Lonchura striata: one gene and its partner. The protein of the gene in region 1 purifies or fractionates together with the protein of each later gene. This does not show direct contact. Links are inferred from orthologs where the notes say so. Each region holds a gene or a part of one and is shown in the gene's direction. Other genes may lie near its edges.

Region 1 (11,882 bases):
TTAATAATATGGTATACTGCTGAAGCAGAATTAAATTTTCTTGGGTTTTCTGGTTTGTTTTTTTTTTCCCTTTCCAAACTGCGTAGCAAAACTCAAAACTTCTGAAAAACAGGAAATGAAGATTTAAGATACACACCCACACAGCCTTAACTCTCCCTCCATGGAGCTGGCAGGAGACCCCAGGAATGATCTGCAAATGTGCCAGCTGCAGTCTTGCGTGACAGCAGCAGCACCACTGGCTGATGGGATTGGTGCGAACAGCCTGGCAGGAACGAGACCAGGGCTGTGATACAGGGATTTCAGTGCCAAAAAAGCAGTGCCACATGCAGCCACATCATATGTGATGCCTGAAATAGACAGGTGAATCACACAGTGAAGGGGAAAGGCTGGACCATACAGCCAAAGCAACTCAAAGAATAGAAGAGTTTGTATTGTTCCAGAGGAGCTGTATCCAAGCACCAGGCAGATGCATGCTGCTTGTGCCAGTGCCATCCAGAGGCAGAGAGGACACACACACATCATGATGTTACTGGAAAGCGTAGACAAGCCCTACCTTAGCTGGGGGTTGAACAGCTTCTGCCTGTTAAGCCAGTGCACAGTCAATCCCTCAATCCATCCAGCCATCTGGAACGTGGGCTGTCATCACTAATCTTATCCCAGAAATTGCCCAATCTGCCTGAAGTGTGCCAGGGAAAGGGACTTCACTCTGCTCACAGGGAAGAGATGCTCCAGCCCCAAACATGCAAGTAGCAAGGAACACAGGAGAATCCAAGAGAGCCTCAGGCCAGCTAAGATTTCTGTCTCCTCCTCCTTCCTCCTGTCATGGCCACCTCCTTCCCCCAGCATACTGCTGCAGAATAATAAGTGAATAACTAAACATCTTCAGACAGCAGGCTCTGCAGTTTAGGAGCACAGCCCCAAGATGGCACTGCCCCACCCCACTAACCACCAAGGCAAGCCAGCCTGGTTTCACCAGGTCCACCTTTCCCTCCAGTCAGGCCCCTCAAAAGCCAGAAAGGCAGGAGACACCAGCTTCACAACCAGCATGTCACAACCCCACAGCTGCTTGGTCTCACTTGCAGCTTCACTTCCAGCTCTGCAGAGCTCAGTGATCCAGCAGAGCCTGCCCCACCATAGGCACTGTCTCTCCACTCCCTGTGCTCTGCAGTGTTAGAGTTCTCCATCAGCTGTTCCCAGCAGATCCCTGGGACAATAATAAAGCTCTCCATGCACAGCCTGAGAGGCCTAACATCACTGCTGCTAATCACAGGCCGCTGAAATGCAAAGGAGATCTGACATGATCTGAACAGGCTGGGTCACACAGCCACAAACCAAGAGAGAACAGCGCATACGCAGCTGTTTCCACAGCTATCTACTCAGTGAAGAGCTTTGAGAGAGAAGGTGAGGAGTGCTCACTTTCACAGTAGGAAAATTAGAACATCCAGAAGACTGTTATTTCCAGGACAGCCACAACCTGAAGAAGAGGCATAAACCTTTGGAGGACACCAGCTTAAATTCCAAGAATACACCAGTATGACTGAAGAAATAAAGGCAAGGAAATGCAGGTGTGTAGCCATTTCTCCTGCTGCAACTAGGTATTTCAAAAGTTTTGTGCCATGCAGCTACACAGTGGACCTGCAGCAAAGGCCACAGGCCAGGAGCAGGACTGAGGGACATGCTGCAATACACAGCCCTAGTGCAGCAGAGAACAGACTCTGGATGATGCAGCAGCTCCTCAGCACTCGTGCTCCAACCAAAGCACCCCAGTTTTTGTGAGCATCAGGATGGTACACTTCCAGCACTCAGGTCTGCAAAGCCAGTTTTGTAAGCAGAGCTCCCCAGGTATGAGCTCTGTGAGAAGGGGAAGAGAAGACAGGACTCACAGGACTTCGACTCCCCAGGATCCAGTCGCAAGTCACAGAAGAGGATCTTTGGTGGGGTGGACAGGATACACTGACCCCGCTCTCCTGGAAGAGAATAAAAAATATGTGAATGCTGCACAGCCTCAGGCTGTGTCCAGGTCAGTCAAGCCATCCCCATGGAGAGGAACAGAGAGAAGAGAGCTAAGGAGGAAGCATCTCTTGCCCTGGTCATATTCTGAGACATTGCCACTGCAACTGGACAAACAGCTGTCATGCTTCAATCCAAGATACTGTCACTGTGATTTCAGTATTAACAAGGTCCCACAACATCCATCACCAGGAAAGCAACACAAACTTTGCACTCACTTCTATGCTCACTGCATCAAGACACACACATTATGGTCTGCTTGACTCCTGCTCACTGTGCTCTCACTGTCCCTACCCAGGTGACAGGCAGGAGTGGCACTCACCTCTGTTGGGGACAAAGACGGTCTCATTCTCTGCCTGCACATCATGCTTGCTGCCGTCAGAGGGAGGGAGTGCCACCCGGTTCTCACTGGCATGAAACTGGCAATGGATCTGGGCGCTGGCCCATGCCAGCATCTCACTGAAAGCAAAGAGCAACACTCATATCTCTGCTTTAAACCTGAATTACAGCAGGCAGGAACTGGGAGAAGAGAAACTGTGTCGGCTCAGATCTATGCAGGACTTCTTGTCTGGAAGGAACAAGACTGTGAGAGTGGCTTCACTGTCACTGAAGCTGTTCTCACAGTCCCCTCCAAGCAAGACCTGGAAGTAAGCTCAAACTGGGATGCTGACTCAAAGCCACTTCCACCCCAGCTGCTGACAACAGCTTTACCCAAAGCCTGGCTCTGCAGCCTAAGGACTCTTTTTAAACAGCAATAATTGCAGCCTGAGCCACAACACCATTGGCACAGCCCTGACATGGCAAGAGAAAACACATCTGCCCCAAGAAACATGCTGTACACTCATGACAGAGGACAACAGGCAGCAGAGGTCAGCAGTTCCTATCCCCTGCCATGAGGGCAAGAGACAAGGAGGCTTGTGCAAAACTTCACAGGGATCTTTCAGCCAATATGCTGAGATCAAGTGTTCCAAGATCCAGTTACTCATTTGTTCATCTTTCTCATCATCCACAGACTGGGACTGGCCACTTACTGCACTCTTGGGAGGACAGCATGAGCTGCTGTATGTGGGCCCTAGCAGAAGACTCTTAGCCATGAGGAGTTAAATCCCAAGCCAGAGGTGACACACAGAGCAGCACTCTGGTAACAACACAGCCATTAGGGAAGTGAGCAAATTCTAAAGCAACAAATTCCTGCAACCTGGGTTCAGCCACCCCTGCCCACAGCACAGAGGAGCCCCAAACGCAACACTTCTCAGGACAGGTGGCTACAGACATGCTCCCTCTGGCCTCACAGCACCATCCCCAACAAGAACATCAGCTGCTGTTTGTGCCAAACCAAAGGAGGATGCTGCTGAGTCTTTCATTAGGACCTACTTACTCCTCCTTATGCAAGGACTTTGCTGACGGCAATACGGGAGGCAAAGGTGTAATTTTGACCCCTCTCTGTACAGCCCTAGGAATTAATGTGGGGTCACACATCCAGCACAAAAAACAGTCTCATGTTTTGGACTCTGCTGTGACGTCAGCCATTCCATAGGGCACTTCCCATGGTACCAGTGATACCTTTCAGTTTCCAAATCACTCCTCTACTTTTATTTCAATAGTGGTCTTTATAGTTTAGCCAGTGAATAGTTCCTCTGGTGTTTTCTAACATGATGATATGATTAGTAAGCACCAATAACAGAGCTTTAGGTGGCAGAGGGATTTTTTGTGGCACACGCGTGTCCCTCCACGTGACACATCAGCGTAGTTAAAGGTCTAGATGAGCTAGGGAAAAAGGTGTGCTGTATTTATGTTAGCTGGCTAAGGAATGTGCTATTTGATCTTTTGCATGTGCTGGCTGCCCTTACCCAAACACACCTCAGTTACTATACCAAGTTGCTTTGAGCCCTACAGTTGTAATTCTGCATTTTCCAAAGTACCAGCATGGCTTTTCCATCAGGGTTGCCATATGTTTTTTTGGTGTAAGGTACCTGCTGTTTGGAAGCAGAGAACTGCTCTTGCTTGAGACAATGCTTGTGAATTTTATATAAGCTTAGAGTGATTACAGTACCTTCAAACACCATATTTTGAGGTTTTTTTTCTATTTTTTTTAGTATAGCCTTACAACATGCCACTGGATTGTTTTCATTTTTTCTAGCCAGATGTCCCAACAAAATTTGCATGTCCCTTCCTGCCAGCAGAGCTGGCTTGCTCAGCTAGTGCTTGTTCAGCAGTGGAGGATCCTGCACTGGTGCTGAGGTCACTTCCTTCCAGTCTCACCTTCCCCCACAACTCCTGTAGCCTACAAGGGACATACTCTGTGCAACCTCTGGGTAAAAGAGATTTGTTTTGTGTACTCTACCATCAAATTAATTTCCTGCCTTTCTTTCAAGTCTGTCCAGGTTATGTGGCCTCTCTGTCCCTCCACGTGTCAGCCCCAACACCTTTGCCTGTTGCAGTCACAGTGCTTTGATCTGGCTCCTGCCTTTACACAACCCACAGGTTCATTTTCCAAACCAACAATTTATTTGCTGTTGCCACTTGTTTGACTTAGCCAGGTCTCATCTGATTGATCACTTGGTGCTTTTTTAGTATTTTGAAAACTTTTCTTTTCCAAGAGGCAGTCTTCTACAGATCACAACACATCTGAAGTTTTAAATGAAGCTCTCATAAATGCACTGAAACCTCCGCAAACCACCTGGTACCCTTGCAGTCCAACATGTTTCAGAAGCAGACAAAACACAGGGCATCTTGTCATCAAACAGGACAAAAGTCTGTGAAGCTGGATGCTTATGCCACAGCTGAATTTGAAACCTGATCTCAGCAGTCAAAATGAAACAGGAAGAAAAGATGGAAAGTTAAGGAAGGCAATAAACACAGAAGCCCTGTGCTGCTGAGACTGCAGGCACTGTGAGTGCGCCCACCAAAACAATCACATGTGAACATCATACTGGTGATGAAAACATGCTGAACCTGACAGGGCTGGAAACAGACACTTCCCAGGAAGGACTCAAGATGAGAAAGCACTCTCCACTCCCTAAAGAATCAGACAAGGCCACACACTCAGCGGACATGAAGGCTTTGGGTGATTACTTGTGACATAGAGTCACCCCCTGTGAGCCAATATGGGAAGCTCCCATGCTCTCAATTTCCTCAGCACTGAGAAGGCGAGATGCAGGGCTCAAGGGCTAGGCCACAGAAAATGTGGCCGCAGAAGGTGCCCCTTTCAGACCTGACCATTTGTCTGCCATCTCTGGAGGCAAGGATCATACTGATCTGTCCAGCACTGCTAGATAAAAGAGAGGTCCTTCCACAAATGCAAGAGAAAATAACATTGCCTGGATGTTGCTCTGTGGGATTGTCCCTCTGGTGTGACCAAATAGCCCACTTTGGCAGTCAGGTTGGCTTCCTTTTCTGCTAGTCACTGTCACTGAGGGCTCACCTGAGTGACAGAGAATCTCTAACTGCATACCTCCTTCCTTGCCTACTTACTGGAGGCACAAAACTAGCATAACTACCTCAGCTTCACCCCCAAAATTGAGAGATGATGCAAGGCTTCCTTAAGGGAGTGCCTTGAGTAGGGAAGTCACAAGAGGCTGAGCTGGCACCATTGCCCTACAATGCAGCCATGACTACTACCCCAGAGAGGGGAGAGAGGGTGGGCCACTTCCTCTGGAGAGACCCAGGCAGCTCAACATTTGGAGGCTCTGTGCATGGACTAGCACAGGCTCCTGTACCTGCTAGCAGAGGTCGATGAGGCCGATAATGGGTTGGTGAAGGTGATCACACACTCCAGCACCTCCCCTGCCAGGAACACAGGCCCGCGGCCCAGCTTGGCCAACACTTCGATCATGGCTTGGACAATCCTGCTGCACACCTGCCAAAAATAGCCAACATTGGGCATGTAATCACAGAATCATAGATTCGAGGAATCACAGAACGGTTTGGGGTGGAAGAGCCTTTAAAGACCACCTTGTTCCAGCTCCCCTGCCATGAGGCAGGGACACCTCCCACCAGAGCAGATTGCTTAGGACCCCATCCTGCCTGGCACATTTCCAGGGATAAAGGAACCACAGTTTCTCTGGGGAGCCTGTGCCAGTGCCTCACCACCCTCACAGTAAAGAATTTCTTCTTAATATTTAATCTAAATGTAGTCCTTTTTCAGTTTAAAGCCATTCCCCGTTTTGCTGTCACGGAGACATGGAGAGAGGGCTGGACCACGTAATTGAGGGGGAATGAGGAACACTGATACACACACAGGAGGTGTGGGGGGAAACACGCACAGCCCCGTCTTTACAAACACATACATCTTCCTCCCAGGTCCATACAGGTAAGGAAGCGGGGTCAGGAAACACCGCGACGGTGAGAAGGACAGCCCTGACACCCCAGCCCTGCAGTCCCTAACGTAAACACGCACATGGATAGCTCCACCCGAGGGATCAGGGACACAGGGCCGCAAACTTTCCGCAGCTCCCGCCTCGGGCCCACTCACCACCCGCACAGGCCGCGCTCGCCGTCCGGCACCACTGCAGGCCCGGCTCCCCTCAGCCGCTCGGCGGGAATCGGCAGCGCTCGGGCAGAGTTCGGCAAGACTCGGGCCTAGTTCGGCAAGGCTCGGACCTAGTTCGGCAAGGCTCGGGCAGCGCTCGGGAACTCTCGGCAACACTCGGGCGCGCTCGGTCTTCTCACGGGCAGCTCCCGGACAACGCTCGGCAACTCTCGCACGCCCCTCAGCAGCGCTCGATCAGCGCTCGGCTACTCTCGGAATCTGCTCGGCGGCGCTCGGCCGCGCTCGGCCGGGCAGTCCCGGGAATCGGCGGTGGGGCGGGTCCGTGCTTCCGCCGTGCCCCGGGGGCGCGGGCGGGGCGGGGCGGGGCGGGGCGGTGAAGAAGAGGGCGCGCACGGGGCGGGGGGCGGTGATGGCGGCGGCGGCGGAGACCGTGGAGTCGCCGCTGATGCGGCGCTATGAGGGGGCAGCGCAGGGTCGCGGCGTGGCGGCGGACGGCTGGCGCGTCTGCCTGGCGCACAGCTTCGAGGAGCTGCGGCAGCCCTACGGCGCCGGGGACGTGCCGCTCCGCGATGTCCTGCGGCACGTCGGCCTCGCCTTGAGGTACGGCGGGGGATGGAGGGGGCCGGGAACGCACCGGGACGAGGGAGGGCGTCCCGCGGGGGACACAGCGTTGCGCTGGAGCCACTCGGTTCCGCGGAGGCCTCGCCCCGGGGACGCTCCGGAGATGTCCCGGTGTACGGAGCGGCAGAGCCCGGCGGATCGCGGAAGGCCCCGGGCTGGCGGGAGCCGCCCTCCTACCGCCCGGAGGCGCCGGCACTCTCCAGCCTTCCTGGCGCCGGCACTGCGAGAAATTGGTGCTGAAGTGGCAGCACCAGGCGCTTGGGCTCCTCAAAACAGGGGAGGACTTGGGGCATCGCTTGGGGATGGGGACCCTCATTTTCCACCCCTAGGGCTCATCGCTGCCTCATCCTACCCGGCATAATCCTCAGTGCTGGCAGCTGGAGGTTAACCTTAAGGCTAACTGGGAGGGGTTTGGAACGCTGTGGCAGGTTTGGGAACGGGGCACCTCTCTCGGCTTTGCGTTGGGGTGAGCTGGAAGTAACGACGGAGAGCACGCGTGGAAAGCGAGAGTGTTGTTTTAACCTTTACCACTGGAGTCCGGGCGCTGGCAGTGTGTGCGCTGGGACCGGCGACGGCATTGCTTATTTCCTTGTGCTGGATTTATGACTCCTGCCTCCATTTTCTGTTGGTGTCCTTGGAGGCTGCCGCTTGCCAAGCTGGTTCCTGCAAAGCTGGATGAAAGGGCAGGTTCTGGATTGCTTCGGGGTGCATGCTGGTCTGACCTGAGACACCCCAGTGCGAGCCTGGGCATTGGGGAAGGGAGAGCATGGGTCACACACCTGAGATAAATAAAGGCTGCTGGAAAAGCTGCTGCAGCAGGTTGGGATGAGCTGAGCATGTTGGAAAGCGTGAAGTTCTGGTGGGGTGAGCAGGGAGGAGAGGTGATCCTAGCCTTCTCATTGAAGTCTGGAAGTGCCTTGTATCAGTCAGAAAAGGTCTTTGAAAGCAAGCTTGAAGTTAAAATACTGCCTCTTCTCCTGTTCAAGTTTAGGAGATAATTTGGTTGTTGTCTCAAAGTACTTTTGCCATGGCAAGAACTTGTTTGCGAGGAGGTTCCAGTCACAAGAGCAGAGGAGACAAAGTGCTAGGGTCACAAGAAATATCTGTGTGCTTTTGATTAAAAACCCAAGGCCAACATTATTGGCTCAAAGGGCAGCCCATTCAGGTATGTGAGAATATATGCGAGGCTGCATGCTCCAGGCGTCAGTGGGCATCTCGGTATCTGTGTGACTGGGGCAGCCAACTCATGGAAACATGAATGCAGTTGCTGTGAGAGGAACCCAGAATTCAGTTCTGTGTCATGGTGCAGGGATCTGTGAAGCTCTGTAGATTGGCCTGCCCGGTCCGTAGTGACCTCTGGTGAGTGGTCCCTGTGCCAGGGATGTTCCCAAAACTTGGCACATCTTGATGCATGTAGTGCAAAATCATATGGTGCAGGTGCTTGTAGCCACTGGGAGCGCCTTGGGGTCACTGCACATCTTTGGCTCAGGAGGTCCAGGACTAGCAGAGGAGCCACAACATTGTGAGTTGATGTTGTTGCCTCAAATTAAACATGATGATGGTGCCTTCTTCTGCAGCAACAGCCGTAGGTGTAGGTGACATGGCTGGGGGTGTTGACAGCCCCTGGGGCAAGATTTTTTGTTAATCAGGGCTCATCGGGGTAACTATGGGGGACATGTGCATCTGGAAAGAAAGGGCTGTGCAGAGGGCTCAGCTGGGGCTGGCAAGGCAGGAGAAGAGGTGTAGGTAGGTTTCTGCAGAGGTGGCTCATGTGTCCTGAGAGGGGTCACAGCATGAATCCAGATCAGCTGGGTAATGTTGTTTTAACTCCACTGCCAATTTGAAGGGGAAGAAATGCCCTCCAGCCCTGGCAGGGCTTTTGGTACTACAGAGCACAAAGTCTTTCTCCTTGTTATTCTTCAGCCCTGGCAGAGCTGTTAATACCCAGCAATTGGGAACTGGGCTTCTTCTCTTGGCTTGCGTGATTTTGGGAGAAACTTGCATGAGAAGAGTTTGCATATTGAGATGGTAAAATTACTTTGGCAGTGGCAATAAATCTCAAAGTTTTTCTACTGTGTTCTCTATAAAAACTGCTTCTTGAAATCCATCTCCTGCCTCCTTTCCAAGAAGTCAGGATGCCCCGCTAGGCTGTGCTGCAGTCATTCTGCCTGAGCACCTTATTTCCTGATGCCAGAAGCCTGCTGGGGAAGCAGCTGCGTTGGTTCCCTGCTGCTGGGTTGAAAAAGAATATTAATAATTTCCTTGAGAGAGAGAGAGCACTGCCAAAACCTTGCCTTGGCAGGGTAAGGCTGGGACTGTCCTGTCTGGAGAAGAGCAGTTGTAGCAGATATAGCTGGAAGATAGTGGCAGGCCCTGGTTCAGGGCAGTCAAGCAGGACAGGCTGGTTCTCATCATGCCGTGAACTGTGAGCAAAGCATCCACAGACAGTCAAACACAAAGCTGAGTCTGTAGGAGTGGAGAGCAGGCTGCAGTTAGGTCCTGTGGGATTGCAGCCCAGAAAATCTCACCCTCTGAGGGATTTGGGGACCTTAGATGTTGGTGAATAAAGGTGAATGCCCAGTGAGCAGCCGAAAAGTCAACTGTGACTTGTTTCTGTTTGGGAAGCATAGTAGTAGAGGTGTCATAGAAGAGCCTCTCCCCCTTGCTCCTGGGTGTACATGTCCCAGGGGATTATTGCTCATTGCCCATCACCTGTGCTCTGCATCCTGTGCAACCAGGGGCAGGACAGGCTGTGTGCTCCTGGTTTTCTGCTCAGCAATATGGCATGGGTGTCTGGAGGTAGCTCAGGGACATTGCTCACTGTGGGTGCTCCTGTGTCCCCCCTGTCCACCTGGCACCCAGGGCCATGGAGCTGCCAGCTGGGCCTTACCTGACTGTTTGCTGGGCAAGGTTCAGCAGCTTCTGGTCTGGTAGCTGGTTTCCGTGTGCTAATTGTCTCTGTATAGAAGGCTTAACTTGGGGCAGTTAATTAGCCAAAGCCAGTACTTTACAAGCATTGACTCAGAGCCCATCCCTGCTCCTCTTGCCTGGAGTGGTGCTGGCATACCCTGTTGCAGGTGTGCCCCTGTTTGGGTGTCTTGATTCCCAGACCTTTAGGTGAGAAATTGTCTGATGGGCCGTGCTGGTCTGCGCAGCTGGTGTGCAGGTGGAGGCAAGTCCCCAGGATCCTGCCAGCTGCAGACAGCAACCATCACCACTTCCAGGGTAAGGCTGCCCTGTGCCCTCTGCTCCCGATGATGTGGCACAGGGATGTGGTAATGTATGGCAATGGGGAAGTGCAGGTAGAACAGCAAGGCTTGTGTCTCTGGAGCAGTGTGTGTCTCCTCTGGGTTTGCACCTCTGCTTGCAGGTCTGCCTTAGCAGGACACTGTGTACCAGGCACAGAGGTGGTGGTGGCCCTTGTGTGCATTCCCACTTCTCCATGAGTGTCTGGGAAAGCCTGTGCTACATGAGCTGGGAGTCCTGCTCCTGAGTTGCCCTTGCTGTCAGTCCTTAGCTGCCTGAACTTAGCCTGCTTGTGTTTGCTGAGTGATGCATGCTCCAGATGGGTGGTAGAGCCTTGTCACCCCTTGTGCCATGGGCACGGGGACATATGTTCCTGTTGTACATCTCTACAAGGAGGGAAAGCTCAACCTATGCTCATCCTGCCCAGTGACACTGGAGGGACGGTGTTGCCTGTTCCTGACTTCTTCAATATTTCTCTTTCCCTTGCAGATACTTCAGGTGGTGGGTCAAGAAGACCTGCATAGAGAAGAAAACAGCCTTCATTGACCTCTTGTGTGCAGTTCCTCTGCAGCAGATCTATGGTCAGCCTCCACACTGGGCACTGGGGTGGGCAGGGATTCACATGGGGATATCGGGGTGCTCCATGGAATGAGTGAGTCAAGAAGCTTTTCTGATTTGGGGGATACTGAGTGGCTCTCCCCTGCAGAGATGCATGGGGAGAGTTCTTTAGCCAGGTACCACCTGGGGGAGGAATGGGGGTGCTAACTATTGGTGTCTTTGCCAGGGTGCCCGCTGGGCGGGATCGGGGGAGGCACCATCACCCGCGGCTGGCGGGGAGAGTTCTGCCGCTGGCAGCTGAACCCTGGCCTTTACAACTATGATACAGTCATCGCCAATCAGGTAGGGTCAGTGAGGGGGGGTGAGAGTCACTGCAGCAGCCTGGGCAGCTGAGACATCTGCCACAGGGCTCATCTCATCCCCTGCACATGCTCCTCTTCTCCTCCACAGTTCACAGTGTGCCTGCGGTGCAAGGGGCAAACCATTTACCAGCAGGTCTTGTCCATGGAGAGACCCAGCAGCCTGCAGGGCTGGAACTGGGGCTACTGCGGCCACTACGCCTTTTACCATGCCCTGTACCCCCGCGCCTGGCTGGTCTACGAGCTGCCGGGGCAGCAGGTGGTGCTCACCTGCCGGCAGGTCTCTCCCGTCATCCCCCATGACTATAAGGTAAGGCGGTGAGGGCATCCCCGAGGGCAGAGCTGCGTTTCCCCAGGCTTTGCCGGCGTTTCCCCACGGCTGTGCTCTGCAGTGGTCCGGGCAGGGGAAGCCCCACAGCCGTGCGGGAGCTCGGGATTGCAGCAAGGGATGGCTCAGCGCTGCCCGTGCCGGCTGGCAGCCCCAGGCGAGGGTGGCAGCTGTGCTGCTGACACGTCTGACCTTCCTCTTACCCCGGTGCAGCACGTGAGCCTGTATCAGCCTGCCGAGGAGATGAGCGATGAGACACCTGGCTGAG
Region 2 (11,692 bases), on another chromosome or scaffold:
CTGGTCACGGTCCTGGTCCCGGTTCTGCTCCCAATTCTGCTCCCAATTCTGGTCCCGGTTCTGCTCCCGGTTCTGGTGCCCGTTCTGGTCCCAGCTCGGGTCCCGGTCCCGGTTCTTGTCCCGGTCCCGGTTCTGGTCCCGGTCCCGGTCCGGGCAGAGGCACCGGCAGGGCCGCGGGGCCGCCGCGGGATTCTCGGGGTCGGCGAGCGGCGACATCGCGGCGACATCGGCGACAGCGGAGCGGGGCCGGCTTTTAACGGGACACGGGGAGGGGACACGGCGACAGCGGGGAGGGGACACGGTGACATCAGGGAAAGGACCGGGGACAGCGGGGACAGCGGGGAGGGGACCGGGGACAGCGGGGAGGGGACACGGTGACATCAGGGAAAGGACCGGGGACAGCGGGGACAGCGGGGAGGGGACCGGGGACAGCGGGGAGGGGACACGGGAGGGGACACGGTGACATCAGGGAAAGGACCGGGGACACGGGGACACGGGGAGGGGACACGGTGACATCAGGGAAAGGACCGGGGACACGGGGAGGGGACACGGGAGGGGACACGGGAGGGGACAGCGACATCGGGGAGGGGACAGCGGGGAAAGGATCGGGATGGGGACATGGGGACAGCGGGGAGGGGACAGCGGTGACATCAGGGAAAGGACCGGGGACAGCGGGGACAGCGGGGAGGGGACACGGGGAGGGGACACGGTGACATCAGGGAAAGGACCGGGGACACGGGGAGGGGACATCGGGAAGGGGACACGGTGACATCACGGAAGGGACAACGGGGAGGGGACAGCGGTGACATCGGGGAAATGACCGGGGACAGCGGGGAGGGGACCCAAATACCTCCAAAATAACCCACAAACCTCCCAAAATGGAACCCCAAAAAAAACCCCAAAACCCCCCAAAATGGGACCCAAAAAACCCTAACCCCCCCCCCCCAAAAATGGGATCCCACAAAAATACCCCAAAATGGGACCCAAAAAACCCCAAAACCCCAGAATGGAACCCCAAAAAACTCCAAAACCCCAAAATGGGACCCAAAAAACTCCCCAAACCCCCCAGAATGGGACCCCAAAAAACCCCCACAAACCTTCCAAAATGGAACCCCCAAAAAACTCCAAACCTCCCAAAAAAACCCCAAAACCCCCCCAAAATGGGACCCGCAAAAAACTCCAACCCCCCCCAAATGGGACCCCAAAAAAACCCCAAAATGGGACCCCCAAAAAAACCCCAAAAATCCCCAAAATGGGACCCCCAAAAAACCCCAAAATGGGACCCAAAAAACTCCAAAATGGGACCCAAAAAAACCTCAAAAAACCCCAAAATGGGACCCCCAAAAAACCCCAAACCCCCAAAAAAACCCAACCTCCCCCCAAAATGGGATCCCACAAAAAAAAACCCCAAAAAAAACCCGAAAAGGGACCAAAAAAACCCCAAAAAAACCCCAAAATGGGACCCAAAAAACCCCAAAATGGGACCCAAAAAACCCCAAAACCCCCCAAAAATAGGGAGGGGACACCGGGGGGGTTGGGGACACTCCGGGGGTGGCACCGGGGTGGCGACAAGGTGACACCGGGGGCGGGGGGACACCGGGGAGGGATTTTGGGAATTTTGGGATTTTTGGGATTTTGGGGACCCTCCCGGCCGTGACGTCACGGATGGGAAGTGTCCCCAAGTGTCCCTCCCAAAAAAGGGAATCCCAAAAAAAGCACAAACCCGCCCCCAAAAAAAGAGACCGCAAAAAAAAACCCCAAAATCCCCAAAATGGGAACGGCAAAAAAAACCCAAAATGGGACCCCAAAAAAACCCAAAATGGGACCCCCCCAAAAGAACCCCAATGAGACCCCAAAAAACCCAAACCCCACAGAATTGGACCCCCAAAAACAAAAAAAAAACCAAAATGGGACCCCCAAAATATCCAAAATGGGACCCCAAAAACCCCAAACCCCACAAAAAGGGACCTCCCCAAAAAGGACCTAAAAAATCCCAAAATTCCCAAAATGGGACCCCCAAAAAAATCCAAAATAAGACCCCAAAAAACCCCAAAATGGGACCCAAAAAAACCCCAAAGCCCCCCCCAAAAAACACCAAATCCCCTAAAATGGGACCCCCAAAGAAACCAAAATCCCCAAGAAGGGACCCCCCCAAAATCCCAAAATGGGCCCCAAAAAAAACCCCAAACCCCTCCAAAATGGGGACCCCTAAAAAACCCAAATCCCCCAAAATGAGAACCCCCAAATACTCCCAAGCCCCCCAAAAATGGGAACCCAAAAAAACCCAAAATTGGGACCCCCAAAACTCTAAAATCCCCCCAAAAATGGACCTCAAAATTCCCAAAAATGGGACCCCAAAAAGCCCAAAAATCCCCCCAAAAATGGGACCCCAAAAAACCCCAAAACCCCCAAAAATGGGACCCCAAAAGATGGACCTCAAAAAACTCCAAAATCCCCCCAAAAAACCCCAAAATCCCCCAAAAATGGACCCCAAAGCCCCCCAAAATGGAACCCCCAAAATGGACCCCAAAAAACCCCAAAATCCCCCCCAAAATGGACCCCCAAAACCCCCAAAATCCCCCCAAAAATGGACCCCCAAAACCCCCAAAATCTCCCCAAAAATGGACTCCAAAGACTCCAAAACCCCCAAAAATGGGACCCCCAAAAAATGGACCCCAAAAAACTCCAAAATCCCCCCCAAAATGGACACCAAAACCCCCCATAAAAAGACTCCAAAAATGGACCTCAAAAAACCCCAAAACCCCCCCAAAAATGGGACCCCAAAAATCCCAAAATCCCCCAAAAATGGGACCCCAAAAAAACCCCGAAATCTCCCCAAAAATGGACCCCAAAACCCCCCAAATCTCCCCAAAATCCCCAAAAATGGGACCCCAAAAAACCCCAAAATCCCCCAAAAATGGGACCCCAAAAAAACCCCGAAATCTCCCCAAAAATGGACCCCAAAACCCCCCAAATCTCCCCAAAATCCCCAAAAATGGGACCCCAAAAATCCCAAAATCCCCCAAAAATGGGACCCCAAAAAAACCCCGAAATCTCCCCAAAAATGGACCCCAAAACCCCCCAAATCTCCCCAAAATCCCCAAAAATGGGACCCCAAAAATCCCAAAATCCCCCAAAAATGGGACCCCAAAAAAACCCCGAAATCTCCCCAAAAATGGACCCCAAAACCCCCCAAATCTCCCCAAAATCCCCAAAAATGGGACCCCAAAAAATGGGATCCCAAAAATCCCAAAAATCCCCCCAAAAGTGGACCCAAAAACCCCCAAAATCCCCCCAAAATCCGGGTCCCCTGGCCCCGCCCCTTTCCCGCCCTTTCCCTTTAGCCACGCCCCTTTCCCCGCCCACCAATCCCCGCCCCGCCTGGCGGCGCACGCCCGTGACGTCACCACGCAACCCGGAAGCGAGCACTTCCGGGTGCGGCAGGTGAGGGGAGGCGGGGGGGGGGGGGGGAGGAGATTTGGGGACAATTTTGGGGGATTTGGGACAATTTTGGGACAATTTTGGGGGTTTGGAGACATTTGGGGACACCTGCGGGGGGTTGGGGACATTTGGGGGGAGTTTGGGACAATTTTGGGGCAATTCTGGGGGGCTTGGGACAATTTTGGGGGGATTTGGGGACAATTTATGGACAGTTTTGGGGGGATTTGGGACAATTTTGGGGCAATTTTGGGGGGATTTGGGACAATTTTGGGACAATTTTGGGGGGATTTGGGACAATTTGAGGACAATTTTTGGACAATTTGGGGGGGTTGGGACAATTTTGGGGGGATTTGGGACAATTTTGGGGCAATTTTTGGACACTTTTGGGGATTTGGGACAATTTGGGGGGATTTGGGGACATTTGGGGGGATTTGGGGACAATTTTGGGACAATTTTGGGGGATTTGAGACAATTTTGGGGGTTGGGCCAATTTTGGGAGATTTGGGGCAATTTTGGGACAATTTTTGGACACTTTTGGGGAGATTTGGGGCAATTTTGGGGGGATTTGGGATAATTTTGGGGAGTTTGGGACAATTTGGGGACATTTTTGGGGGTTTGGGGACACCTCAGGGGTGGCCTTGGGGACGGGGCTGATTTTTGCCCCCAAATTTTGGAATTTTTGCCCAAAATTTTGACATTTTCAGCCAAAAATGGCCCCAAATTTGGGATTTGTCCCCCAAATTTGGGGGATTTTACCTCAAATTTTGGGATTTTTGCCCCAAATTTGGAGATTCTTGCCCCAAAATTGGGATTTCCATCCAAAATTCAAGTTTTTGCCCCAAATTTGGGAAATTTTACCCCAAATTTGGGATTTTTGCCCCACATTTTAGGATTTAGGCTGAAAATTCGGAAATTTCTGCCCTAAATTTTGGGATTTTTGTCCCAAAATTGGGATTTTTACCCCAAATTTGGGAATTTTTAACCCAAATTTGGGATTTTTTCCCCAATTTGGGAATTTTTACACCAAATTTGGGATTTTTTTGCCCCAAAATTGGAATTTTCATCCCAACTTTGGGCATTTTTACCCCAAACTTTGGCAATTTTGCCCCAAAATTGGGATTTTTGCCCCAAACTTCAGAATTTTTACCCCAAATTTTGGAGTTTTGCCCCAAATTTGGGGATTTTTTTGCTCAAAATGTTGGGAAATTTCTGCCCCAAATTTGGGGATTTTTGCCCAAAATTTCAGGAATTTTCCCCCGAATTTTGGATTTTTGCCCCAAATTTTGGATTTTTGCCCCAAATTTGGAATTTTTGCCCCAAATTTGGAATTTTTGCCCCAAATTTTGGGATTTTCAGCCACAATTTGGGGATTTTGCCCCAAATTTTGGATCTTCGGGGGGGGCGGGGCCTCGTTAGGGGTAATTGGGGCTCTGTCATTATGCAAATGAGCAGCGTCCTTATGCATATGTATGCAAATGAGCATCTGATTATGCAAATTGTGTGGGCGGGGTGTGGGAACCTGGAGGAGCCGGGACTGGTTAGACTGGGTTTAATTAATGCGGGGTTTAATTAATCCTGATCTTAATTAATCCTGAGCTTAATTAATTCACTCTGATTAATTAAGATGGGCTCAATTTATCCAGAGTTTAATTAATTCAGATTTTAATTAATCCAGTCTAATTAATTAAACTGTGTTCTGTTAATCCAGAGTTCAATTAATCCAGAGTTTAATTAATTCAGAGTTTAATAAATCCAGTCTAATTAATTAAATAGGGTTCAAATAATCCAGAGTTTAATTAATCCCGATCTTAATTAATCCAGTCTAATTAATTAAATAGGGTTCAAATAATCCAGAGTTTAATTAATCCCGATCTTAATTAATCCAGTCTAATTAATTAAATTGGGTTCCATTTATCCAGAGTTCAGTTAATCCAGAGTTTAATTAATCCAATCTAATTAATTAAACTGGATTCAGTTAACCCAAGGTTTCATTAATCCAGAGTTTAATTAATCCTGTCTGATTAATTAAATTGGGTTCAATTAAGCCAGAGTTTCATTATTTGGAATTTGAGTAACCCAGAGTTTCATTAATCTTGAATTTAATTAATCCAGAGTTTAATTAACCCAATCTAATTAATTAAACTGGGTTCAGTTAACCCAGAGGTTCATTAATCCAGAGTTAATTAACCCGGCCTAATTAATTACATGGGTTCAATTCATTCCTTGTCCTTCCTGGTGGCCCCAAAGTTCTCCTGGTGTCCTCAAGGTTCTCCTGGTGTCCCCAAGGTTCTCCTGGTGTCCCCAAGGTCCCCATGGTGGCCCCAAGGTTCTCCTGGTGGCCCCAAGGTCCCCATGGTGGCCCCAAGGTTCTCCTGGTGGCCCCAAGGTTCTCCTGGTGTCCCCAAGGTCCCCATGGTGGCCCCAAGGTTCCCATGGTGTCCCCAAGGTTCTCCTGGTGTCCCCAAGGTTCTCCTGGTGTCCCCAAGGTCCCCATGGTGTCCCCAAGGTTCCCATGGTGGCCCCAAGGTTCTCCTGGTGTCCCCAAGGTCCCCATGGTGGCCCCAAGGTCCTCATGGTGGCCCCAAGGTCCTCATGGTGGCCCCAAGGTTCTCCTGGTGGCCCCAAGGTCCCCATGGTGTCCCCAAGGTCCCCATGGTGGCCCCAAGGTCCCCATGGTGGCCCCAAGGTTCTCCCGGTGGCCCCAAGGTTCTCCTGGTGGCCCCAAGGTTCCCATGGTGGCCCCAAGGAGTTCTGATGGCCCTGGAGGTCTCCGCGGTGGCCCCAAAGTTCTCACGGTGGCCCCAAGGAGTTCCTGATGGCCCTGGAGGTCTCTACGGTGTCCCCAAGGTTCCCATGGTGGCCCTGGAGGTCCCTGTGGTGTCCCCAAGGTTCTCCTGGTGGCCTTGTTCTCTTGCAGCTCCTGCCATGGACTTGGTGGCCGGGCTGGTGGCCCTGGTGGCCCTGGTGGCCCTAACCCTGCTGGTGGTGGCCCAGAGGCTCGGGATGTTCTACCGCATCTTCCACAAGGTCTGGGGACACCTGGGGACATTGGGGACATCAGGGGGACATTGGGGACACTGGTGGGGTGGAGAACATTGGGACAGGTGGCATGGAGAACACTGGGACAGGTTGGATGGAGAACATCAAGGACAGGTGACACCGGTGGGATGGAGAACATCTGGGACAGGTGGGATGGAGAACACTGGGACAGGTTGGATGGAGAACATCAAGGACAGGTGACACCAGTGGGATGGAGAACATCTGGGACAGGTGGGATGGAGAACACTGGGACAGGTGACACCAGGCATGGAGAACATTGGGACAGGTGACACCAGGCATGGAGAACATGAAGGACAGGTGGGGTGGAGAACATGAAGTACAGGTGGGATGGAGAACATCAAGGATGGGTGGGATGGAGAACATCAGGGACAGGTGTCACCAGGGATGGAGAACATCAGGAACAGGTGTCACCGGTGGGGATGGAGAACATTGGGGACAGGTGGGATGGAGAACATCAAGGACAGGTTGCACCAGTGGGATGGAGAACATCAGGGATAGGTGACACCGCTGTCACCTCTGACCTCCTGGTGGCCCCGTGGTGGCCCAGGTGGACACGACGAGTCCCCGTCACGGTGGCGAGCTGGTGGCCGAGGTCCTGCGGGCCCACGGCGTCCAGTTCATCTTCACGCTGCCCGGTGGCCACATCTCGCCCGTGCTGGTGGCCTGCGAGAAGATCGGCATCCGCGTGGTGGACACGCGCCACGAGGCCACCGCCGTCTTCGCCGCCGACGCCGTCTCACGCCTCTCGGGTCAGCTCTGGTGGCATCTCGGGGGGGTTTGTCCCCAGCTGTCCCCAAGGGGTGGAGGTGGCCCCATGGCTGACATCTCCAGAGGGTTTTGGGTGTCCCACCTTGGTGGACCTTGGGTGACCTGAGCGGGTTTTGGGATGTCCAGGGTGGGATTCGTCCCCCTTTGTCCCCATCTGTCCCCAAGGGATGGAGGTGGCCCCATGGCCGACATCTCCAGGGGGTTTTGGAGGCCCACCTGGGTGGGTCTTGGTTGACCTGAGAGGGTTCCAGGATCTTGGGATGTCCAGGGTGGGATTTGTCCCCATCTGTCCCCAAGGGATGGAGGTGGCCCCATGGCTGACATCTCCAGAGGGTTTGGGTGTCCCACCTGGGTGGGTCCTGAGAAGCTTCAGGGCTGTGGCAGGGTGGGATTTGTCCCCATTTGTCCCCTCCTGGATCAAATCCATCCTTTGGCCACCTTGGAGCCATCTTGGTGCTTCCATGATGTCATCTCGCCACCATCTTGGTGCCATCTTGGTGCCATCATGGAGCCACCTTGGTGCCACCTTGATGTGACCTTGGAGCCACCTTGGTACCACCTTGATGTCATCTTGGTGCCACCTTGGAGTCATATTGGTACCACCATGATGTCACCTTGGAGCCACCTTGGCGCCATCTTGGAGCCGTCTTGGAGCCATCATGGTGCCATCTTGGCACCATCTTGGTGACATCTTGGTGCCACCATGGAGCCACCTTGGTGCCACCCTGATGTCCCCTCAGTGTCCCCTCGGTGCCACCTTGGAGCCACCTATGCGCCATCTTGGCACCATCTTGAAGCCATATTGATGCCATGTTGGCGCCATTTTGGTGCCACCATGATGTCATCTTGGCGCCATCTTGAAGCCATCTTGGCGCCATCTTGGCGCCATCTTGGTGCCACCTTGGTGCCATCTTGACGCCATCTTGGTGCCACCATGCAGCCATCTTAGTGCCATCTTGACATCATCTTGGTGCCACCATGATGTCACCTTGGTGCCACCTTGGAGACACCTTGGAGGCATCTTGGTACCATCTCGGTGCCATCTTGGTGCCACGTTGGCGCCATTTTGGTGCCACCATGATGTCAACTTGGCGCCCTCTTGAAGCCATCTTGGCGCCACCTTGGCACCATCTTGGTGCCACCTTGGAGCCATCTTGGTACCATGTTGGTGCCATGTTGGCGCCATTTTGGTGCCACCATGATGTCATCTTGGCGCCATCTTGAAGCCATCTTGGTGCCATTTTGAAGCCATCTTGGTGCCACCATGCAGCCATCTTGGCGCCATCTTGACATCATCTTGGTGCCACCTTGAAGGCATCTTGGTGCCATGTTGGTGCCATTTTGGCGCCACCATGATGTTGGAGCCACTTTGGTGCCATCTTGGTGATACCTTGGTGCCATCATGGTGCCACCTTGGTGCCATCATGATGCCATCTTGGTGACACCTTGGAGCTACCTTGGAGCCATCTAGGTGCCATTTTGACGCCATCTTGGTGCCACCTTGGATCCACCTTGGAGCCATCTTGGCGCCATCTTGAAGCCATATTGGCGCCATCTTCACCCCATCTTGGTGCCATCCTGGCGCCATTTTGATGCCCCCATGATGTCATCTTGGAGCCACTTTGGTGCCATCTTGGTGACACCTTGGTGCCATCATGGTGCCATCTTGGTGCCATCTTGAAGCCACCTTGGTGCCACCTTGGTGCCACCATGGAGCCATCTGGGTGCCACATTAGTGCCACCTTGGAGCTACCTTGGTGCCATCTTGGTGCCATCATGCTGCCATCTTGGCGCCATCTTGACATCATCTTGGTGCCACCATGATGTCACCTTGGTGCCATCTTGGTGCCATATTGACGCCATCTTGGTGCCACCTTGGCGCCATTTTGAAGCCACCTTGGTGCCACCATGCAGCCGTCTTGGCGCCATCTTGACGTCATCTTGGTGCCACCATGATGTCACCTTGGGGCCATCTTGGTGCCATATTGACCCCATCTTGGTGCCACCTTGGCGCCATATTGGAGACATCTTGGAGCCATCATGATGCCATATTGGTGCCACCTTGGCACCATCTTGAAGCCATATTGACGCCATCTTGGTGCCACCTTGGTGCCATTTTGAAGCCACCTTGGCGCCACCATGCAGCCGTCTTGGTGCCACCTTGGCACCATCTTGAAGCCATATTGACGCCATCTTGGTGCCACCTTGGCGCCATTTTGAAGCCACCTTGGCGCCACCATGCAGCCGTCTTGGCGCCATCTTGACATCATCTTGGTGCCACCATTATGTCACCTTGGGGCCATCTTGGTGCCATATTGACGCCATCTTGGTGCCACCTTGGCGCCATTTTGAAGCCACCTTGGCGCCACCATGCAGCTGTCTTGGCGCCATCTTGACGTCATCTTGGTGCCACCATGATGTCACCTTGGGGCCACCTTGGCGCCATTTTGAAGCCACCTTGGTGCCACCATGCAGCCATCTTGGCGCCATCTTGACATCATCTTGGTGCCCCCATGATGTCACCTTGGGGCCATCTTGGTGCCATATTGACGCCATCTTGGTGCCACCTTGGCGCCATATTGGAGACATCTTGGAGCCATCATGATGCCATATTGGTGCCACCTTGGCACCATCTTGAAGCCATATTGACGCCATCTTGGTGCCACCTTGGTGCCATTTTGAAGCCACCTTGGCGCCACCATGCAGCCGTCTTGGCGCCATCTTGACATCATCTTGGTGCCACCATGATGTCACCTTGGGGCCACCTTGGCGCCATTTTGAAGCCACCTTGGCGCCACCATGCAGCCGTCTTGGCGCCATCTTGACATCACCTTGGTGCCATATTGACGCCATCTTGGTGCCACCATTATGTCACCTTGGGGCCATCTTGGTGCCATATTGACGCCATCTTGGTGCCACCTTGGCGCCATTTTGAAGCCACCTTGGCGCCGCCATGCAGCCGTCTTGGCGCCATCTTGACATCACCTTGGTGCCACCATGATGTCACCTTGGGGCCATCTTGGTGCCATATTGACGCCATCTCGGCGCCACCTTGGCGCCATATTGGAGACATCTTGGAGCCATCATGATGCCATATTGGTGCCACCTTGGCACCATCTTGAAGCCATATTGACGCCATCTTGGTGCCACCTTGGCGCCATTTTGAAGCCACCTTGGCGCCACCATGCAGCCGTCTTGGCGCCATCTTGACATCATCTTGGTGCCCCCATGATGTCACCTTGGGGCCATCTTGGTGCCATATTGACGCCATCTTGGTGCCACCTTGGCGCCATTTTGAAGCCATCTTGGTGCCATATTGACGCCATCTTGGCGCCACCTTGGCGCCATATTGGAGACATCTTGGAGCCATCATGGTGCCATATTGGTGCCACCTTGGCACCATCTTGAAGCCATATTGACGCCATCTTGGTGCCACCTTGGCGCCATTTTGAAGCCACCTTGGCGCCACCATGCAGCCGTCTTGGCGCCATCTTGACATCACCTTGGTGCCATATTGACGCCATCTTGGTGCCACCTTGGCGCCATATTGACGCCATCTTGGTGCCACCTTGGCGCCATTTTGAAGCCACCTTGGCGCCACCATGCAGCCATCTTGGCGCCATCTTGACATCACCTTGGTGCCACCATGACGCCATCTTGGTGCCACCTTGGTGCCACCTTGGGGCCACCTTGGAGCCCCCTGGGTGTCCCCTGGGTGCCCCCCGGGTGTCCCCTGGGTGCCAGCGCTGTCCCCGCAGGCCGCATCGGCGTGGCGGTGGTGACGGCGGGTCCCGGGGTCACCAACGCGGTGACGGCCGTGAAGAACGCGCAGATGGCCGAGTCGCCGCTGCTGCTGCTGGCCGGGGCGGCCGCCCGGCTGCAGAAGGTGGGAGCCGGGCCCGGGCCCCGATTCCCGAATTCCCCAAATCCCGAAATCCCCAATTCCCAAAATCCCCAATTCCCAAAATACCCCAATTCCCAAATCCCGAAATCCCCAATTCCTGAAATCCCAAAATCCCCAATTCCTGAAATCCCAAAATCCCCAATTCCTGAATTCCCCAATTCCCAAAATCCCCAATTCCTGAATTCCCAAAATCCCCAATTCCTGAATTCCCCAATCCCCTGAATTCCCAAATTCTCAAATTCCCATATCCTGAATTCCCAAATTCCCCAAATCCCGAATTCCAGAATTCCCAAATTCCCTTTGCCATTCCCAAATTCCCATTCCCAAATTCCCGAATTCCCTTTGCCATTCCCAAATTCCCAATTCCCATTCCCAATTCCCTTTGCCATTCCCCATTCCCCATTCCCCAATTCCCATTCCCCAATTCCCGACTAATTCCGGAATTCCCGGATCATTCCAGGGCCGCGGGGCCCTGCAGGCGGAGCCGCAGCTGCCGCTGCTCCTGAATTCCCCAATTCC

What was found.
Region 2: the proteins of non-lysosomal glucosylceramidase (region 1) and HACL2 purify together in Homo sapiens (co-immunoprecipitation; 3 studies listed by BioGRID and IntAct, counting the BioPlex papers as one, with this or other methods). This does not show direct contact. The link is inferred for Lonchura striata from reciprocal best matches to the Homo sapiens genes GBA2 and HACL2.

The regions. Positions count from the first base shown.
Region 1 is NC_134642.1:39,647,270-39,659,151, reverse strand, and holds the start of non-lysosomal glucosylceramidase, read left to right. Parts: upstream 1-6,888; 5' UTR 6,889-6,911; coding exon 6,912-7,102; intron 7,103-10,858; coding exon 10,859-10,950; intron 10,951-11,153; coding exon 11,154-11,269; intron 11,270-11,377; coding exon 11,378-11,596; intron 11,597-11,882. Other genes in the region: RGP1 (RAB6A-GEF complex partner protein 2), read right to left, coding at 1,884-1,967, 2,333-2,469, 5,730-5,896. UniProt on the Homo sapiens protein: Non-lysosomal glucosylceramidase that catalyzes the hydrolysis of glucosylceramides/GlcCers (such as beta-D-glucosyl-(1<->1')-N-acylsphing-4-enine) to free glucose and ceramides (such as N-acylsphing-4-enine).
Region 2 is NC_134623.1:2,076,311-2,088,002, reverse strand, and holds the start of HACL2 (2-hydroxyacyl-CoA lyase 2), read left to right. Parts: upstream 1-6,281; 5' UTR 6,282-6,294; coding exon 6,295-6,468; intron 6,469-7,048; coding exon 7,049-7,250; intron 7,251-11,027; coding exon 11,028-11,155; intron 11,156-11,692. UniProt on the Homo sapiens protein: Endoplasmic reticulum 2-OH acyl-CoA lyase involved in the cleavage (C1 removal) reaction in the fatty acid alpha-oxydation in a thiamine pyrophosphate (TPP)-dependent manner. Involved in the phytosphingosine degradation pathway.